2 linked regions of the Macaca fascicularis genome follow. The protein of the gene in region 2 interacts with the protein of the main gene of each other region in a pairwise test. Links are inferred from orthologs where the notes say so. Each region holds a gene or a part of one and is shown on either strand. Other genes may lie near its edges.

Evidence for each region. The genes of interacting proteins can lie anywhere in the genome.
Region 1: the proteins of EDA (region 2) and PLN interact in binary tests that used the Homo sapiens proteins (3 or more experiments, as listed by UniProt). The link is inferred for Macaca fascicularis from reciprocal best matches to the Homo sapiens genes EDA and PLN.

Annotation. Positions count from the first base shown.
Region 1 is NC_088378.1:22,494,702-22,500,391, forward strand, and holds the end of PLN (phospholamban), read left to right. Parts: intron 1-2,238; 5' UTR 2,239-2,335; coding exon 2,336-2,494; 3' UTR 2,495-3,855; downstream 3,856-5,690. UniProt on the Homo sapiens protein: Reversibly inhibits the activity of ATP2A2/SERCA2 in cardiac sarcoplasmic reticulum by decreasing the apparent affinity of the ATPase for Ca(2+).
Region 2 is NC_088395.1:76,784,120-76,790,469, reverse strand, and holds part of EDA (ectodysplasin-A), read right to left. Parts: intron 5,762-6,350; coding exon 5,727-5,761; intron 4,797-5,726; coding exon 4,745-4,796; intron 1,848-4,744; coding exon 1,717-1,847; intron 1,135-1,716; coding exon of another isoform or gene 1,015-1,134; exon of another isoform or gene 900-1,014; intron 1-899. UniProt on the Homo sapiens protein: Cytokine which is involved in epithelial-mesenchymal signaling during morphogenesis of ectodermal organs. Functions as a ligand activating the DEATH-domain containing receptors EDAR and EDA2R. May also play a role in cell adhesion.

The DNA of each region.
Region 1 (5,690 bases), on a different chromosome or scaffold from region 2:
TGATACCTACCTTCCCCTTTGCCATTCTTTCAGTACTTCCTTCTGTTCCCTTCAGCACTTTCCTCTCTCAGGAATGGGCTAACAGGTTGAGAGAGGCTTTTATGAGATGTATAAAAAGACTTAGGAGAAAATAAAATCTGACAGTTGGGGTAAGGTAGTAATATGTTGATTAACAATAATATATCAACAAATGTTAACAGTCACTATGTCTGGCAATTAATTATAACTTTTTTACTCTATTTTTTATTTTTCTTATTTCAAAATTGATGCAGAAGTATCCTGATTGAAAACAAAATGTCCCCCAAGTGTTAATAACCATTATCTCTGGACAGTTAATACAGTTAATTTTCAGTCTATATATAATTTTTCTGTAATAGCATGTAAGTTCTTATTTGTTTTATTAATCATCAAAGTATAGACCCCACAGGCAGCAATAGCTTGTGGTATCTCTGAAAGAAGGCATGATGGAAACTACTGCTATTAAGTAGAGGTCTGTAAATAGAAAATGTCTGTGGTAGATGGTGAGATAATAATAATTACTACACATTCCAAGCTTGATAGTCTTCAGTACTTAAAATCAAATCTTATTAAAATGTTAGTTAAGATAACATTCTATAAAGCTATAAAATCATAAAAAGGAATGACAATTTCAATCCACATTTTTGGTAAAACACTTCCCATTTAACACTATTTTATTTTGGATTAAAATCAAGATCCAGGGAACAATTTGTTGTATGCATTTCCTTTTTATGAGATTGGCTCTGGAGCTATTAATACAGTAACTGATCAAACCAATTACATCTACAGTGTAACAGATTTAAAGAAACTGTATGTGAGAACTTTTACCCAAAAGAATAACCCAAAACGAGCTGTACCTTAAACCAAATACAGCAGGTCCTCAAATAACATCATTTCCTTCTATGTCATTTTGTTATAACATTTAAGTATGTGTGCAGCTTGAATGTTCTCTCCATATCTGTGGGACTCTCGTTTCCTCCCATATCCCAAAACTGTGCACATTAGGTTCACTGGCGTGTTTAAGTTGTCCTGGGTTGAGTGTGAGTGTGTACATGAGTGTATCCTGTGATGGAGTGGTCTCCTATCCAAGGTGGGTTCCTCCCTCCTTGACTGCTGGGATTGGCTCCAGCCACCAGCACCCCAAACCAGAATAAGAGGGTTGAAAAATGAATGAACGGATGAATACAAATTATTATCAAATAAAAACTGGTAAAGTCTAGGGTGATCATACAAATGCATGACAATAAATGCTATGGCACAAAAGCACTCAGAGATCCCACTGTATTTCTCAAACATTGATTCCATGTTTTTAATTGACCACCACAATCACTGTTACTCACTGATTCACGAAATACTGGGTAATTATCTTTGTTGGCTTTTTTTTTGAGACAGAGTTTTGCTGTGTCACCCAGGCTGGAGTACAGTGGCATGATCTGGGCTCACTGCAACCCCTGCCTCCTGGGCTCCAGCGATCCTCCCAAGTAGCTAGGATTACAGGCACATGCCACCAGCCTAGCTAATTTTTATATTTTTAGTAGAGACAGGGTTTCACCATGTTGGCCAGGCTGGTCTCAAACTCCTGACCTCAGGGGATCTGCCCGCCTTGGCCTCCCAAAGTGCTGGGATTACAGGCGTGAGCCACTGCACCCGGCCTATCTGGTTTTTATTAATCTTTCTTAAATGTACATATAATTCATATTTCTCTCAACGTTTAATATTAGAAGTGTTTGGGTCTTTATTGAGAAGTTTGGTGATGTTCTTGTGACCAGAAATGTGCTATAGGAACTTACCTCTTATTTACATCAATCAGCCTAGGGTAAAAATGGTTTTGTTATATGTTGTTTTGCATAAAGTCTTGGTTTCCAGGAACTTATGGATGACACTGAGGATTACTGCAATACTTGTAGTAAATTTGGGAGAAAAAGGCAAAGACTGAAGTTACTACTCCTAACACAAATGAGACTGTCATGTTGTGCCCCATCAAAAAAGGAGAAAGAGAGACACATGGAAACACATGCGCACACACACACACACACACACACACACACACACACACACACAGAGAGACAGAGAGAGAGACAGAGAGAGAGACTATAGAAACACTTGATGTTATAAATAACAATAGTGCTGAGGAAGATGAATTAATACAACATTGTATTTTTTGTCCTGATAATAGGTTACATATATTATTCTAATCCATTTATTATTTTTACATTCCAGGCTACCTAAAAGAAGACAGTTATCTCATATTTGGCTACCAGCTTTTTATCTTTCTCTCAATCACTTAAAACTTCAGACTTCCTCTCCTGCTGGTATCATGGAGAAAGTCCAATACCTCACTCGCTCAGCTATAAGAAGAGCCTCAACCATTGAAATGCCTCAACAAGCACGTCAAAATCTACAGAATCTATTTATCAATTTCTGTCTCATCTTAATATGTCTCTTGCTGATCTGTATCATCGTGATGCTTCTCTGAAGTTCTGCTACAACCTCTAGATCTGCAACTTGCCACATCAGCTTAAAATCTGTCATCCCATGCAGACGGGAAAACAATACTGTAAAACAGACCACTTCCTGAGTAGAAGAGTTTCTTTGTGAAAAGGTCAAGATTAAGACTAAAACTTATTGTTAGCAAATGTATTCATCTGCTGGATCTTGTAAACATGAAAAGGGCTTTATTTTCAAAAATTAACTTTAAAATAAGTGTATAAAACGTAACTGTTGATTTCCTCAACATGGCTCACAAATTTGTATCCCAAATCTTTTCTGAAGATGAAATAAGAGTTTAGTTTTGAAACTGCACTGCCAACAAGTTCACTTCATATATAAAGCATTATCTTTACTCTTTTGAGGTGAATATAACTTATATTACACTGTAAAAGCTTCTTTAATACTATTTTTCAAGTCTTCACCAAGTATCAAAGTAATAACACAAATGAAGTGTCATTATTCAAAACAGTCCACTGACTCCTCACATCTGTTATCTTATTATAAAGAACTCTGTAGTAACTCTTTGTAGTAACATTCTAAAACAGAAATTGCATTTTTGCTATGCCACATTAACATTTTTTAAAGTTGATGAGAATCAAGTATGGAAAAGTAAGGCCATACTCTTACATAATAAAATTACTCTTAAGTAATTTTTTCAAAGAATCACAGAATTCTAGTACCTGTAGGTAAACCATAAATCTGTTCTAAGACATATGATCAACAGATGAGAACTGGGGGTTAATATGTAACAGTGAGATTAGTCATATCACTAATATACTAACAGAATAGAATCTAATCTTCATTTAAGACACTGTAGTGAATTATCTGACCTAGAGTTACCTAGTTTACCACGCTGTATCTTTTGAATCATGAAACCTTAAGACTTCAGACTGATTTTACAGGTTGTCTTCCATTCCAACCTAACATCCAATGCAGGCAAGGAAAATAATACAAGATTTCCAGTGACAAAAAATTATATTATCTCAAGTATTTAAAAAAAATAAAAATATGAATTCTCTCTCCAAATATTAACTAATTCTTAGATTATATTTTGAAATGAACTTGTTGGCCCATCTATTACATCTACAGCTGACCCTTGAATATGGGGGTTAGGGGAGCTGACAATCCATGGGTCTGCAAAATCTTAACTACCTAATAGCCTACTGTTGACCATAAACCTTACTGATAACATAAACAGTAAATTAACACATATTTTGCATGTTATATGTATTATACACTGTATTCCTACAATAAAGTAAGCTAGAGAAAAGAAAATGTTATTTAGAACATTGTAAAAAAGAGAAAATATATTTACTATTCAGTAAATGGAAGTGGGTTAACATAAAAGTCGTCATTCTCATTGTCTTCACATTGAGAGGAGGAAGAGAAGGAGAAAGACGGGGAGGAAGAGCAGAGGTTGGTCTTGCAATCTTGTCTTAGGGGTGTGGAGAGTGGGGAAAAAGAATATTCATGTATAAGTGGACCCTCGCTATTCAAGCCCTTGTTGTTCAAGGGTCAACTGTAACAGGAGATAGCTATTTTTCTTCATCTATCAACCAAATGGCAAGCATCTATTTCGTAGGCCACTCTACTGAGCTTAATTATAGATGCAGCAATGTTACCTATAATTATTTTCTTGATGAATAAATTTTCAATTTCTCCTCTGATCATTTCAGAACATCTTCCAATAACTCATAAAACAACTGAAGTAAAATTTAGTGCTGGAAAATATGTTCACCAAACTTAGGTTAAAATTAAGTTTAAAATAGTTCACACCTATACTGCATAATCCAACAATTTTAATTTCAGTTGAAGACATGTTACTAATATAACTATTATTAAAAGAGTAGAGGATGTGTAATTAACCATATCTTCTAAAACATGATTACTAAAAGAATATATAACATCAATATTGACCTTGGTTTCTTACACAAGTGTTGCTAACTCAATAGTGAAGGAGACACCATTAAATTTTCTGAACCCATGAGAGGTACTGGAGATGGGGAGTGGAAAGTGTTTGGTTCAGGGATATCTGAAGAACAGAAGGGCAGAGATTTCTTAAGTGACGCCTCATCTACAAGCTGGAAATCCCTAATAACAAGTAAAAAGCTTATAAATAACAGGTGATACACTCAACTCACTGGTTTTAGTAAATTACCAACACAAAAAGTATTCAAGTTCTATAATAAGCTGCACTGGTCTTAAAAACAAGTGGAAAATTTGAACGGATTAGTCATACTCCTATGATTACATTGTTCATTACAATCTTTTTCTCAGTAAACAGAAATAACTAATTTTTTTGTTCTTCATTCTTTGATAAAAATTAAAATCTTATTCTGTGAGGATTACAGAATACTATAACTCAAATTATGAAGTAGAATAAACTCTTTAAATAATTATTCTTTATCACAAAGTGTAAAGAAAAAGATACAAGAAAACAATTTATTTTTAAAATTTAATATACTAAACGCTCAAATATGTTCTACCATAGAATAAGTTCTTATCTTAATTTACAGGGTACTAAAAACAATTTTAAAATGCTTAATGTTACCTTTTATATTTTAATTGGATAAGAATATATATTTGTTTAATGCAAATCAGAATCACTATATTAAAATGAAGGTTCTTGAAAACTCAGTGAAGCTGCTCTACAATACACTTAGAACTGATACTACCGATAAAAAAATTCTAATTTTAGTTTTGATTTTACAGGGGTTTTGTTTGGTGACTTTCCCCAAATAAAACAAAATCAAGATGCACAAGTACAGACACACAAGGGGGCAGACCTATATAAGATAATGAATTGCTACTACACAGACATTATTTATCTTTTGATTATTTTTGAGTCTTCTTGCAAAGTAGGGCTATAATAAATTTTCAGAAAAGATCTGTTCTTCTGCTAAGTAACAACACACTTTAAAATGTCCAGAATTTTATGCCAATATTACATAGAAAACTTGACAGATAAAAAAGTCAAACACATTACTAATTTTATTCATTAAAACATGTATATAAAAGTCCTTTTTAACTACCTAATGTATGTGTCATATCCTAATATAGGGAGTGTCATGGTGTCCACATCTTTGAATATATAAATTATCTCAAACAGTTAAAAAATAAAAGAACAGAGTACAAAAATAAGAAAGAATGAAAATAAGAAAACTTTCTTTTCACAGGACATA
Region 2 (6,350 bases):
GACAGGCGGATGCATTGCCCTTCCCCTAGTCCATGGGGCTCAGCTGGTTGAGCAAACCTTTCTTACAACAGCACACCTGTCGTAAACTCTGTAAGGCTAAGAACCATGCCCTATTTGCAGCTTCACCGTGCCCCTGTACCCCCACCCGCCCCTGCCCCAGCTCTGACACGAAGCAGAGTGCCCTGCACATAGCAGGTGTGCACACAGTGCCGTAGACACAAACCGACTTCCACTCTTGAGCCCCGCGGACTATTTGTGGAGAAACTTAGAAGTCACTGATTCCCCAGAGAGGTCATATAACAACTTGCGATTTCTTCAGCTCCTTAACAGAAGCTTATTCAGCTTGCACCACCCCTCCCCTGTGCCTGGACTCCCCTCACTGATTCACAGTACCCCTTGAGCCTCCCATTTGATGATTGAGGAAACAGGTCCAGAGAGATGGAGAGCTAGCTACCGCAAACAAGACAAAGAATTTGGAAAAGCCCAGGCCCCTGACTTTGTGGCCAGAAGGAGGCACTAACTTATGCTCAGTGGCCTAATGTCATGGGGATTTTCCCAGCCTGCATGGGCCACTCTCAATTCTCTCCTAGGCTCAGAAAATTAATTTTTCCATCCTTCACTACCCTTATCCATCATACCTCACACCAAGTTGTGATCTGCCCTCCCCCACCACCGCCCCCACTGCCCCCACCACGTGGAGCTTGGCTCATAGGACATCAGGGTTATGCCCATGTGCCCCACGGGTGTTGGGACTCTCAGATATCACTGTAAATCTTTTTATGAAAGGTCACTCCCTCCATCAGCTCTTCAGCTGGGAACAGCATATTTGGGTGCCACATATGGATCAGGACCCAAGCTACACCGGGGTGCTCAGTGTGCCTAGCAAATGCTTGTTAGCCCACCTTTGCTGGCCGCTCTCCTGTGACACCCATGTGTTGGTTCCATAGTCCTTCTGCCCACCTGCCTGCTTGCTGCCCACCCCACAAAAGTCCCAACCTCATGGCTCATCTTCCTCTATCTCCAAGGAGCCATCCCCGTGGAGGCAAACAATCGGGGAATGGAAGTAGATGGACACTGGCAGACTTGGGGAGCGGGCCCAGGGCAGGAAGAGGACAAAAGCAGAGGGAGAAAGGGCTGGGAGAATAACAGCAGGAAGGAGGCAAGAATAGAGGAATAGAAAGATAGGGAAACAAATGGGAGAAAGAGGAAGGAAAGACAGTCAGAAATCTTTTTGAGGTAGAAAGAAAGTCTGCAGGAGCACTATTCATTATAACGCCCGAGCCAGCAGTGTTGAGGGGAGGGGTTCTCAGTAACCCTGGAACTGACTTTCAAAGAATATACTGAGACCAAGTTCAAGTTTGGCAGTGGAGCCAAACAGCTCGGAGGGTAAACAGGGGCCTGAGGCCCTGCAGGAGGGAATCAGATGGCAGAATGTAGGAGGGGCCTTTTTCACAGTTTTTCAATAATATTTGGCTAGGGAAAAACAAAACAAAACAAAACAAAACAAAACAAAACAAAACAAAACAAAACAAAACAAGCTGGCCTCCTCTCTCTTTCCTTCTTTCAACTCCCTCCCAGTGCGGTCCCCCCACCCCCTCACCCAAAGCAGGAAGTTAGCCATTGGATGGTCTTGGCTGGCTCCACAGTGCCCCTATGTGGTCTGCACCGGATCTGCATTCTGGATATAAGAAGAGTTAGGCCTAAGACCGTACTCACTTCTACCTGACTATAGATGAAGTAGGTGCCGTCCACCAGTACCTCCAGCTCCCCGCTGCGGGGATGTAGCTTAAACACCTTGGGGTTCATAGTGATGCGAGACCAGTCATTGAGCACTCCACCTGAAAGATCTCAGTATGAGAGAAGGGCAGTCACTCAGTACATGTCAGAATAATCGAGGCAACAGAAAATAAATACCAAGGAGTTCACGACCCCCAACCCTATCCCAGTGCAACCAGGGTAGCGTAGAAGGCCAAACTTTAAGAAGAGCATTTGAAAGCAGAGAAGCTGTTCTGTTTGTAAAGCAGCTGCCAGGCCTGCTTCAGGGCTCCTGGGCTCCTGTCTGTCTTTATACTTCCTTTCTTGACCCTTGCATCTGGAAGGGTCTTTAACCATTACCTTCTAGCTGGAATTTGCCGGAGGAGGATGAGAGTGGGCATGCTGCCCTATTTTCTTTGTTGTTATGGGGCCTGCACAGGCAAAATTCAGACACTGAGTGGCAGGCTAGGTCTTATTATTCAATTTTACTTTCCCAGTCAGAGCTCCTGAATTCCTCTTGTCTCATAGGTTCATGGGTTTTCTCTTTCTCCTTAAGAGATTCTTTTTTTATGGTTCTTCCACACCCACAGCTTTCTGGAAAGCCTCCCTGGGAGGAAACCACTCAGCCCACTGTCTATCTGGAGAACCTTAGGGATTAGAGATGATTCAGACTCCACGGCAGCTGGGGCTACTGACCACCAGTACCAGGGCCCCATAGGTGAGAGGGATCCTTATGAGAGTGAAAGATAGACTGGCAGGCTGCAACAGAGCCAGCCGGGAGGATAGGAGCCGAGGCACCCTTGGCAAAACATCTGTCTCAGCTCCACCCCAGGCAGGGGTGGAGGGGCAGTCGCATTCCTTTGGACAGTGGAAGCCAGCGTGTGAGGGTGGAGGAAAATCTTCTCTTTCCATCCTGCAGAAGAGGAATGTTCCTTCCCACCATGAGAGGAGGACATCCAAGCCCAGGGAGCCTTTTCCCTTCTAAGTCATCCATCCTGCACCCAAGAAATTATATTTTGTAAGTCCATCTTTGGTCAGTTTCAGTAGGCCTGTCTCTCTGAGGGATGAGGAAACAGGTTTTCTGGAAAAGGTGACCATCTTTCCTTGAGGTGGTAAGTAGACGGGCTGGGAGTTAGGAGGAACTGCCCTGGCTCTGTCCCATCAGTGGACCACTCTGCATGACGTCCTCCAATCCCTGACCCCATCACTTCTTCTTCTTCTTCTTTTTTTTTTTTTTGAGAGGGACTGTCACGCACTCTGTCACCAAGGCTGGAGTGCAGTGGTGTGATCTTGGCTCACTGCGACCTCCACCTCCCGGGTTCAAGTGATCCTCCTGTCTCAGCCTCCCGAGCAGCTGGAATTACAGGTGCGTGCCACTATGCCCAGCTAATTTTCGTATTTTTTGTGGAGACGGAGTTTCACCACGTTGGCCAGGCTGGTCTCAAATTTTGGCCTCAAGTGATCTGCTCCCCTCGGCCTCCCAAAGTGCTGGGATTACAGGCGTGAGCCACTGCACCCCACCCCCATCACTTCTTCTGGTAGTACTAAGGGTCAGCACAGACCACTTCTGAGGATTGGCCCAGAGGGGCTGGAAACAATCCTACTGTGTGGCAGTGGGAGCAAAATCAGTGGCTGCTGGCACAGAAGAAACACTATCTGTCTAGATACCCAAACAAATCTATTTTGGCCTGTCTCTGGCCTCCCTGGACAGGTGGGGATCATGGCCCACTCAGGGCCTTGCGGTCCCCAGCAGGACCAATTGGGTTTTGGTGCCATTCTCTTCCTATTTACACTTCTGAGGCTACTAAGTCAGACATGGAGGTGGCAGTCAGGGAAGTAACTAAATACAGTCATTAAGGAAACTCATTACAGCCAGTTCAGGACTGACTGAGTTCTTAGAAACTGTCCCCAGGTAGCTGTTTTTTTTTTTTTTAACCTTCCTTTACCGTTTCTGTACTCAAAACCCCTCCCTTCCACTCCAAGCTCTGTAAGCATCTAGCATTTTGGTTAGCTTGCTGCTTCCCAAGGCTCCTGGGGGTTCACGCATTTTAGGCTTTGTGCACTCTGGGGACTGGACATTATTCCAAAGTGCTGTTCTTTCATGAATGTTCATGTCTCTTTGGGGGAAGAAAATGAACCTTATCATTCAGTGGAGTGTACATACATATCACTGAAGTAGCATAGGGGAGAGGAAAGAGTCAGAAAGATGTAGTTTTGAATCCTGGCTCCTAAACGAACTTGACTAAGAAATATTGGGAAAGTTAATTAGCCTCTCTGAACTTCACTTTCTGTCTTTGTAAAAAGGAGCTCATACCTACCTCATAGGGTGGTTGTGAGGACTGGATGAAATTAAAGACAAAGAAAGCATGCTGAAAACTCTAAAGTATCATACAAAATGAGGCAGCATGATTTATTAATGTATTATCCAATCTCTCTGGGACTCTGTTTCCTCATCTGTTAAATGCGGGGATTACGATAAATCAGTGCTTCTTAAACCCATTAAACACATTCTCCCTTTTGATAGACACTAGCATCTTCAACTCCCTGGAGATTCCAACATGCCCCACTTGCCCTGAGAGAAGCAGCCCGTCTGCCCATCTGCGTAGATCCATCAGACAAGAAGAATTTAATTTTACATTGTTTTACTTTCTATAATTTGTATTGTGAAAATATTAATCTAACTACACATATCTCCGTGGTGGCTCTGATATAAACTCCATCGCCTGAGAATGCCTGGGCTAGATGATGTCTCAAGTCCCTTTCAGCTCCGTAATCAGTGATTCTAAATGCAATTTGGGTGTAGCAACTGGTCTTGATGCTAGCAATTGCTCAGGACAGCCAGTAGAGGGCATGATGGAGCAAAGAATGACTTCGTATGCCAAGGGTACCTCAGGGCCCTGGGAGGAACTAGGCTGGGTGATTATTTGGAGGTTGGGGAGGAGGAAGGGGAGAAGCTCCTCTTTGGGAGAGAGCCTATTTTGATTCTTACCATTCTTGACTTGAATTGCTGACCCTTGGCCCTGTAGATGCACCACAGCTGGCTGGCAGGATGAGAAGGATAGAGAGTAGTCACTATGAGTAATGGCTGCTTGCTCAGTCACCGGTCCCATGTTTCCATCCTGGTTTCTAGTCTTCTATTGTAATCCAATTCTGATCCCTCTCCCCTCTCTTGGGATGTTACTGACTACGTTTCTACTAGAGGGTAATATGATTTTGTAGCTCTACCGCTTGCTAGCTATGTGACCTCAACCAAATGTAATGCCTCTGAGCCTCATTTCCCTAACTGTAAAATGGGGATTATAAGAATGTCTGGCCTCTCTCACAGGGATGTCTAAAGATCAAATGAGGTGATGGATATAAAATTGCCCTGCAAGCCATCAAGCACTGTGCAGCTGTGTAGATTTATCACTGTGGCCACACAGCTGTGGCGAGGGAGGCTGAGATGAGACAAGGCAAGGCAGCAGAACCTGCCAATAGAGACAGATTAGGAAGCTCAAAGACTGGGAGGAGCTCTTCAGGCCATTAAGGCAGACGCCCAGGCTAGGCTGGGCCTGGAGCTGGCTGGCTGTTTTTCAAGGACATACTCTTCAACTCTTCAGGTCCGGATCCCAGGTGGTCTGAGAGCCGACAAGGTGTCTGGGGTGGCTGGGGAGTTGGAGGCTCAGGTGAATAGGTCTGACTGGCAGCTTATTTCAGCTGACTACTGGGCCTGGCTATGGTGACCCTGGGGTCTCCTGTGGAATGAGGAAAAATGATCCTGGCAAGACACCCTTTCCTTAGCTAAAAACATGCCCTGGGGCAAAGCTTTTCTATTCATAGAGATGGGAGGGGGCTGTGAGTGAAAACCCTCAGAATCTCCAGGGTGTTCTCATGAAATAAAGCCTCAGGAAATCTAATAAGAAGCTAATTTAAAGGTGGCTCTAGCCTGTGGCTTTCCTTCCTACCCAAGAAGAGAGCAATCCCCAGCCAACCTGGTTTTCTCGAGTTCCAGCTTTATCAGCAGCACCTGCAAAATAGGACAGGCCTATCAGAGGGCATAATCTTTTGACTTCCTTTTCCCCTCACCTGAGCAGCTAGTGGTGGTGAGCCGTGCTCCCTGCAGCCAGCCCTGTCTGAGCTTTATTCTCCAGGGCTTAGAGCTGGAGGAAGAGTCAGAGTGCACCTCTTCTGTTTCCTGCCCTGACCTTCATCTTCAGTGGGCCCAGCACCCAGCAGGAAAACTTCTGAGTATTGCCTCTGGCCAATATTAGCCCAAGGCAAGCCCCACCAGGCACCCATGGAGAACAATGAGAGGGTATTCCTGTCACTGTGTGACCCTGAGACAATGGCATTGGCTTCTCTAGCCTTTTGCTCCCTTTCTATCAATTTTCTTCATAGAGCCCACTGCTGTTTGTAAATATCTTGTTTCTTTGTTCTCTTTTCCTCTAGGAGATAACCTCTATGAGAAAAAGGACCATGTATCAATATGTCTCTTTGTATACAGAAAGCGCTCAATATTTAAGGAATGATTGGATGAAAAAAAAATCCCCAACTCCATCTCTTGTGGTCATGGTAACACTGCTTAGCCCTGTGTGAAGTACAAGTTAAAGAATCTG